2 linked regions of the Nothobranchius furzeri genome follow. The protein of the gene in region 2 binds, or shares a complex with, the protein of the main gene of each other region. Links are inferred from orthologs where the notes say so. Each region holds a gene or a part of one and is shown on either strand. Other genes may lie near its edges.

What was found.
Region 1: heatr3 (region 2) and rrs1 share a complex: the UniProt entries of both Homo sapiens proteins name them as parts of the hexameric 5S RNP precursor complex. The link is inferred for Nothobranchius furzeri from reciprocal best matches to the Homo sapiens genes HEATR3 and RRS1.

Annotation. Positions count from the first base shown.
Region 1 is NC_091747.1:51,664,555-51,668,404, reverse strand, and holds rrs1 (ribosome biogenesis regulatory protein homolog), read right to left. Parts: upstream 2,333-3,850; 5' UTR 2,285-2,332; coding exon 1,241-2,284; 3' UTR 744-1,240; downstream 1-743. UniProt on the Homo sapiens protein: Involved in ribosomal large subunit assembly. May regulate the localization of the 5S RNP/5S ribonucleoprotein particle to the nucleolus.
Region 2 is NC_091749.1:70,409,828-70,414,403, forward strand, and holds the start of heatr3 (HEAT repeat-containing protein 3), read left to right. Parts: upstream 1-1,761; 5' UTR 1,762-1,893; coding exon 1,894-2,034; intron 2,035-4,576. UniProt on the Homo sapiens protein: Plays a role in ribosome biogenesis and in nuclear import of the 60S ribosomal protein L5/large ribosomal subunit protein uL18 (RPL5). Required for proper erythrocyte maturation.

The sequences.
Region 1 (3,850 bases), on a different chromosome or scaffold from region 2:
CTCTGTTGTAAACCTGTGATCAGTATTATGTAGAAATAATATTTTACATGTTTGAACCAAAATGCTGATCAGCTCTATCGATCTGGTTTAATAATCATCTTAATTTTCAGTTATTTTCAACATTTACAGTAATAATCAATAACAGCAAATATTCCTACGTTGCTTTGAATGAAAAAAATGACATCACTTAAATTTATTCAGTCTGAAAGTTATATTTATCTGAAATTTTTTTCCCATTTGCTATTTTATCTGATGTTTATCGGTAAACAGATTTAGTTCTTCGTGACCCTAAAGCATTGAATTATATGAATTTTCAGTGCACTTTTAGATTACAGGTGATCCCTCGTTTATCGCGGTAAATGCATTCCAGACCTGGCCGCGATAGGTGAAAATCCGCGAAGTAGGGACACCATATTTACAGTACAGTACTATATTGAATTATCGTATGATCACATTCTCTTTTTGTGGGTAAAACTCAAGAAAAATCTTTTTTTACTTGTTTTATTACAAAAAGTGCATTTTATGATGAAAAAACAGGAATTTCTTGATATTTCGCATAGAAAAATGCCGCAAATCGGTGAAAAATACCGCGAATCGGCGAATTTCCCTTGAATAAGGCTCCGAAGAAAAAATCTGCGAAGTCGTGAATCCGCTATAAACGAACCGCGAAGTAGCGAGGGATCACTGTACTTGTTTTTCTAAATAAATGTAACTTCAAAATCTAAAATGAAACATGGACAAAATAAGGTGAAATACTATTTATTTGTAAATGTATCCATTTCATGAATTAAGGTTGAGACAAATAAACACGCAACATGACAGTGACAATTTTAGGATGAATTTGAGCCTTTTCTTCCAGGTTTATTTGAATATAAACCTAAAAAATTAAATAAACAGATTATAAAGCCATTAAAGTTTCAAATGAGGCTTTTTGAAACTATTGGTTTTCTTAAACACTTTTTCCACCTAAAAAGGTCTAAACTTTATAATTATGACAGCAAATTATTTAATCTAATGTTAATTCTCCCAAAATGCTTTGTTGCTGAACTAATACAACTCATACATTTGTAAAATTAACCATAAACAACAGATTTGTATAAATGACACCAGATTTCTTCTTGAAAGTCAAAATATTGATGTTTTAAATCTCTTATTTCAAAAACACCAACGAAAAATAAACATCAGTTACTTATCGCTGCTGTATGAAAGTGTATTTTTTAAATATTTTTTATTAAAGTTCTCATTTCTTCCCAGGTTTTCCTCTCCTCTTTCCCCCTCCTCCAGCTTTCCCAGCCTTCCCCCCTCCTCCAGCTTTCCCAGCCTTCCCCTTCCCAGTCATGTTCCCTTTCCTTCCCCTCTTCCCACCCCCCTTCCTGCGCTTGGCTGCAGCCTCCTCTTTGTCCTCCTCCCTCATCTGCTGATTCACAGCCTTGGTGATGTCCAGTCTGGGCTTCTTGCTGCCCATGGTTTTCAGCAGATCCAGCTGCTTCTGCTTCTCGCTGGAGAAGTCACCGATCAGAGGGTCAAACTTCCTCCTCTTGCCTGAGTTCTTTGGAGGTTTCTCTTTGGGCAGGTCGTCCTGGAACCTCCCAACAGATGCTGTGGAGACTTTGGCCACACTCACTGCTTTGGCCAGCTCGTTTCTGGACTGCTGAGCTTTGGGGACCAGTCCCACGCCGGGGGTTTTGACTTTCTGCGCCCTGGCGATGTTTTTCAGCCGGTTGAACTCGTTTTTAGCCACTCGCTCCTTCTTGGCTTTGACCCGTTTAGCGAACTGGTCCTCGTTGGGGTCCGCAGTCTCTGGCACCTCAATCAGCCACTCCTTGGTGTCGTCGTTAGCCCTCTTGTAGCCCCAGCGTCTCTTCCACTCCTTCGCGGTCTCATCCCAAACCAGATTGGTTTTCTTCTTCTTTTGGATGCCTTTCAGCTTGGCGAACTGCTCCCATTTGGTTGGAGGTCTAGGCTTCAGTGGGGGCTTCTCTCTCGGCAGCCGGGTGGTCGGTTCCGGTAGCTTAGCTACTATCACCTCCTCGACCCTCTCCGTGGGGAGTTTCCATATCTCGTTGATGAGAAGTTGTGTGTTGTCACGAGCTAGCGACCGCAAGAAGTCCTCCTTCTTCTGTTCTCTGAAGTCCCGCGTCTCGATGCGGTTTTTGTCACAAGCTAGCAGGTTACCGAGGTCGAAGTCCAGGTCCAGCTCCTTCTGGACGGTGATACTTTTCAGTTTTTCAGCCTCTTCTTGCTCGGCTTTGGCTAACAACTCCTCCACACTGCTCGCAGCCATTTTCTGAACGCTCAACTCCCCACGTGCGAATCCGGAAAAACAAGGCAATGTACTTCCGGGTCGTGGGCAGCAACCGGAAGTTCTCATTTTGGCCACTAGATGGCACTGCGGTCGCTGTTTTCACCAAGAGTACAAAACAGAACGAAATGAAAAGTGACGGAATAAATGTGATTCATTGTAAGCCACAACAATAACAATAACAAATATATACAGACATATGAACATGCTAATCAGCTGTGCTATCTTGCAAGTTTATGTACACACAGCAGAACATTAATTAATTAATTCATGGTGCTTAAGGACGCCAAATATAAACAAAAACTTAAAAAATGCAGATCTTTTCAATGAGATGTTCAAATTTAAATTTTTCTACTATGCATACTTTATTGTAAGCACGCTTCTATGATTTAAAACTGAGTTCAAACAAGCCTATTGCATCATTATGTTGTGTAACAAATACACACTTGCATATTAATCATTGCAGCTTGTTTACATGCATTTTTAATGCATTTAATTTGTAAGCACCTTTCAGGACTCTCAAGGTCACTTTAACAGAAACGACATGATACAGGTTAAAACACTGTTAAATTAAAAATGCAAATCAAACAGTTAAACAGATACAAGTTAAAAATGAAAACAGTAAAATGCTAAAATACTAAACTAACAATTCAAGTTAAAATTATCAACAGATAAGTCATAAATAATCAATCAATAGATCATTATCATAAAGATATTCATTGCACATTGACACATTAGTTAAAATCTACATAAAATAACAGTAGGAAGAACATAGTCAAGCAAATGTTTGCGGTTACATTAGGCATTTGAGAAAGCCTGCCTGAATAAATGAGTTTTCAGTAGTGATTTAAACTGGATGCCATGTTTACATGCATTTTAGGATGAATCTGCTTAAATTAGAGAAGACAAATGCACACGTTCCACAGCTTCAAAACATTACGTTAAATTATTATGTTAGATGTCAAGAATTAGAATAAACGGCTTACGTAAGTTTAAAATCTTTAGAAAAGGTCTCCAAGTACCATCAGCTTTTGTACACATCCCTCTAAGTTTACTTTTAGGAGTACTGTAAATAAAATCATTATGCATAATTTATGAATGCAGAAATTTAAAATGATGCAACAGATTTCTTATTCTGTGACTTCTGGCTAAAATTCTCACTTTTACGGTATATTTGCTATTGCAATTGCTGACCCCATAGAAAGTTGTCCACATTTGGCAGAATTTTGCATTTTGTTTCGAATTAAAATAAGAAAACAAAAATTTTTACCACAACTTTTTACTTTATGAATGGAACCTTCTAAAGACAACAACAACAAAATTGTGTTTAATAAACCAGAATAGTTAAATAAGTCTAATAAGATTGGATGAAATTGTAAAAATGTGTATGAAAATGACCAGTTTTAATATATTAATATACAGTGTTTAGAAAGTTCCTGCTCTCAGACTCCTGTAGTGTCTCTGGATCATTTAAAAGTTTGCAGCTGTGATAAACTTCCCTACAGGATGGCTGAACATGTTTTCATGTGAGATTAAATCCCTTGAATT
Region 2 (4,576 bases):
AGAGCTTAACTCTCTGTGTTTAACCGTTGGCCTTTTAGGGGTAAATGACACTTTACCCCTTCGCTTGCTTTTATTAAGACATCACTCAGTAAAAGGGAAATCGTGATGGTCTTTCGTGGTTTTTTGTATTAATTTGGTTAATATGAGAGTTTAGTTGTTACTCGTTTTGTGTTGCTGCTGATGTGTCTTGTTAATCTGTGTTTTGAGTTTATATTTATTTAAATAAATGTTGTTTTGTTACTTTTACCACAAGAACATGCGTTCTCATTGTTACCCCAGGACCCCTAGACAGCCTGGAGCGTAACAGTATTCAAAAGCATCATTAATGGCTGATCCCACAGGATGATGACTTAACACCATATTGATCTCCTGGCTTTTACACTTTTGATGTTCGATTTTTACCCATTTGTGATTTAGTCTCTGTCCAACAGGTGACTGAGACGTGTGGTTCTGGGGGAGTAGAGGTGTTGTTGATGCCATAGGTTTTTGTATCACACAGGCCCGTTAAGAAGCTAACACTGGGTGCTCCTTCTGTGAAATCATAATTGTGTAATTTCATGAGTTCTGTAAAGAAGAAGATATCATTTCTATAGCGTCTCTCAAGATAAAAATCACAAAAACAAAAAATGTAAAAATATTAAAAAGCATTTAGAAAATATATTTAAAATGAGCAAAAATAGTCAATTGTGATTAAAAAATGTAAAGAAAGAGAGAGAGTGAACAGGAAAGAGGGAAACCAGTGGATCCTGAGGAAGGTGGAATAGGTGGGGAGAGCAGAATAAAGAGAGTGTGGTGAAGAAGGTCATACAAAAGCCAACTTGAAGAGGCAAGTCTTCAGCTGCTTTTTAAAGGAGACCACTGAGTCCACTGATCTCAGGCTCAGGGGGAGAGAGGTCCAGAGTCTGGGGGCCACAGCAGCAAATGATCTGTCACCTTTGGTCTTTAGCCTGGTGCTGCACAACCAGTAGGCTTTGATCACTGGACCTCAGGGACCTGCTGGGGGTGTAGGGACTAAGAAGATCACCAATGTAAGATGGTGCTTGTCCATGTAAGGCCCTATAGACCAGAACCAGGATCTAGAAATGAACCCTGAAGTTGACTGGCAGCCAGTGAAGCTGGAGGAGAAGCGGGGTGATGTGGGTGTGTTTGGAGGACTTGGTCAGAAGCCGAGCACAGGCCTTCTGAACCACCTGTAGACGGTTCAGGGAGGTTCTGCTCAGACACGTGAAAAGAGAGTTACAGTAGTCTAAGCGTGAGGAGATGAAGGAGTGGAGAACTGTCTCAAGTTCAGAGCGGGACAGAATGGGACTCAGCTTAGCAATGTTCCTGAGATGGAAGAAGGAAGAGCGAACAAGAGAACTGACATGGGAATCCAGGATGAGAGCTGGGTCAAAGGTCACGCCAAGATTCCTGACAGAAGGTTTGGTGTGGGAAGCAAGCTGACCAAGAGAGTCTCTGACTTTGGGAACCAGCTTGTCTGGGGCACAGATGAGGATCTCAGTCTTATCTTCATTCAGCTGAAGAAAGCTCCCAGCCATCCAGGTTTTGAGGTAAATAAATACATGACATCAAAAGTAAAATAAAACGTAAAAAGAAAAGAAAAAACACAATCATCAAAATGTGCAAATAGAAAGAAAAAACTATCAAAAACTTCCACATAAATAATGATTTTACTTTTGAGGAGTTTGCCACACTTGAACAAAACGTCTCTTATCTGTTTTTGCGACAACGTCACTGCTTTCCGCCAGCAGCAATCGCTTTACGGCAGGAGAGAGGACCTTCCACATGGCTTCCGCCTGAGTCGAGTCGTCGGTGTTTTCGCTAAACTTTCGCCCTAGCCCAGCGCTCAGCAACAGACATCCTGTTTACACGAACCCGTAGAAACGGGCCGAAATGGGTAAAAGCAAAACCACTAAATTTAAACGTCCGCAGTTCAACTCGGTCGGTTTGCCGGTGAACGCAGTTAAAGAGGAGGACCCGGCCGAGGAAGACCACGATGAAGACGACTGTCCAGCTGCAGAGCTGCTGGAGAAAGTAGGAACTTTAAACCCACAGAGTTGTGTTCGCGTGCGTTAGTGAAGCTGGCGCGAGCTAATTCACACGAACACCTGTCCTACACCTGTGTCTGGATGAGCAAATGCAGACAGCTGGGAGTTTAGTTCCTTCAGTTAACTCGTGCTCGATTTTTCTAGCCAGCTTAGTTTGGTTTTGAAAGTGCTTACCTTGTTACTAAAATGCTTCACCGTGCAGTTAAATAGGTCACAATTAAGACTTTATTGGATTAATGAAGTGAAATTAATGTAAATGTTTTATTTTTGTATCATCCCTGTCACCTGCTGGGAAATTTAAATAATAAAGTGCTTGGTTTAGATTTGGGCAGTGATGTAAAACCATGTTTAATCAGAGCTGCAGGGCCAGATAATACGTCAATTAAACAGTCTGGAGATGGATTAAAGTAAAACTAGTAAATAACACAAAAAACTTAAATATTTTCAATTTCCAGAATAGGAGCAAAAAGTACCATTGCACACTCACTTTCATAGTTTAATAAATGAAAAATGGAAAAACAAATGTTACTGTAAATAAAGTAGAGACGGTCAATATTGGCTTTTTTTAACCATTATGCCGATATTGTCTGCACTTAATTTCCGATAGAATAGACTTTATTGATCCTACAGTGGGGAAGTTCACTTGTTACAGCAGCACCAACACTTAAGAGAATAATTGGAAGAAAAGTCATATCAGTGGTACATGTATTTATACACATAGGCAGTAGTCTAGTATTGCAACCTTCGACCCCTAAAAACCTTGAGTAAAAAAGAAAAAACTTTGCTCCAATACCAGAGGCGGATTTAGCAATTTGGGGGCCCAAGGTGAACACAGACATGGGGCCCATAGTGTTGGACCAGCACTATGCAGCATGCTGCAAGAGACACAAGCATGCAATGTAAATCCGGTATTGCACCAGTATTGAACACATAATGAATGTTGCATTGGTGTTATTGTGTACCAGGATAATGCCAGTAAACCTTAACCTGAGGAGTTATACACTCTTACCGCTGAGAGGATGAAAGCTGTTTTACATCTGGGATGTCTGCTGTGTTATGAATACAGAGGGGCGAATTTAGACAAAGTCAGCAACATGTTTACATCACTGAACAGCTGCAGAGAGAACATAAGCTAACGTTGGTAAGCTAGTTAACATACCGCTCTCTATGAGCCCCCGCTAGATGTGCTACTTCTTCTTATAACTGAACTGGGCATGAACTAGTTGAAGGAATGCTGGAGGAGTTTTGTTCTTGTTTTGATCGCAAAAGCTATCGCTCGGTATGGGGGCCAAAATTAAGACTGCTGCCCAGCAGCAGGAGGCTATATAAATTCTGAAGCAAACTACTGATCTTATTAATTATAAGCTGGTGCCGGTAACTGAGAGGCTGGCGCTGCTTACTGAGAAATGGCACCTTTACGGCGTTATTACTAGATATGCTAGGGACTAGCGGCCCTCGGCTGGTCATTGACTGGTTTACACACTCCCTCTGCTGTCTATTAGCATGGATAGGCTAGCGTTAGCCTGGACAGAAGAAGAAGAAAATATCATTTCTATAGCGCCTCTCAAGATAAAAATCACGAGGCTGGTGTTAGCATTGGAGAGGCTAGCCATTAGCATGCCTAGGCTGGTCACTAGCTGGATTTCCTACCTCCTCGACGGACCATTAGCATGGATAGGCTGGCGTTAGCATCGGAGAGGCTAGCCATTAGTGTGCCTAGCTGGATTTCCTACCCCCTTGACGGACCTTAAGCATGGATAGGCTGTCATTAGCATCTGAGAGGCTAGCCATTAGCATGTCTCGGAGAGTCACTAGTCAGCTAGTCTGATTTATTATATGTGTATGTCAGTGTTTCCCAACCCTGGTCCTCAAGGCACACTATCCTACATGTTTTCCATGGCTCTGCGTCAGCACACCTGCTTGACACTGCCTCCTCAGGAGGACATCAAGTGCTGCAGATGCCTGTTAATCACCCATTCATTTAATCCATCAAATGACTCTGGACGCAGTGGTCTCCTTCAAAAATTCAATTCAGTTCATTTCAATTTTATTTATAAAGCGCCAAATCACGACAAGAGTCGTCTCAAGGAACTTCACACAGTAAACATTCCAATACAGGTCAGTTCATTAAGCCAATGAGAAAAAAGTTTTCTATATAAGGAACCCAGCAGGTTGCATCAAGTCACTGACTAGTGTCAGTCTTTACAGCAGTCCTCATACTAAGCAAGCATGTAGCGACAGTGGAGAGGAAAACTTTCTTTTAACACACACACACACCAAGTAATGTTTCTATGGTTACATTGTGATGTCTTAGTAAATATTCTATTTGGTGAGAGATAAACTTTATTGTATTTATCCTAGTGGATCTATAATTAAACGGGTAAACTAGTAGTAACACATCCAGCGTCAAAGAGAGTAAAGTGTTATTATCAGGAGAGGGAGAATGTTGAAAACTCACCTGTTCAAGCTGGTTAGGGTGCGACCTTCATCACCCTCTCCTTATTCTGCTCTCCCTACCTATTCCGCCT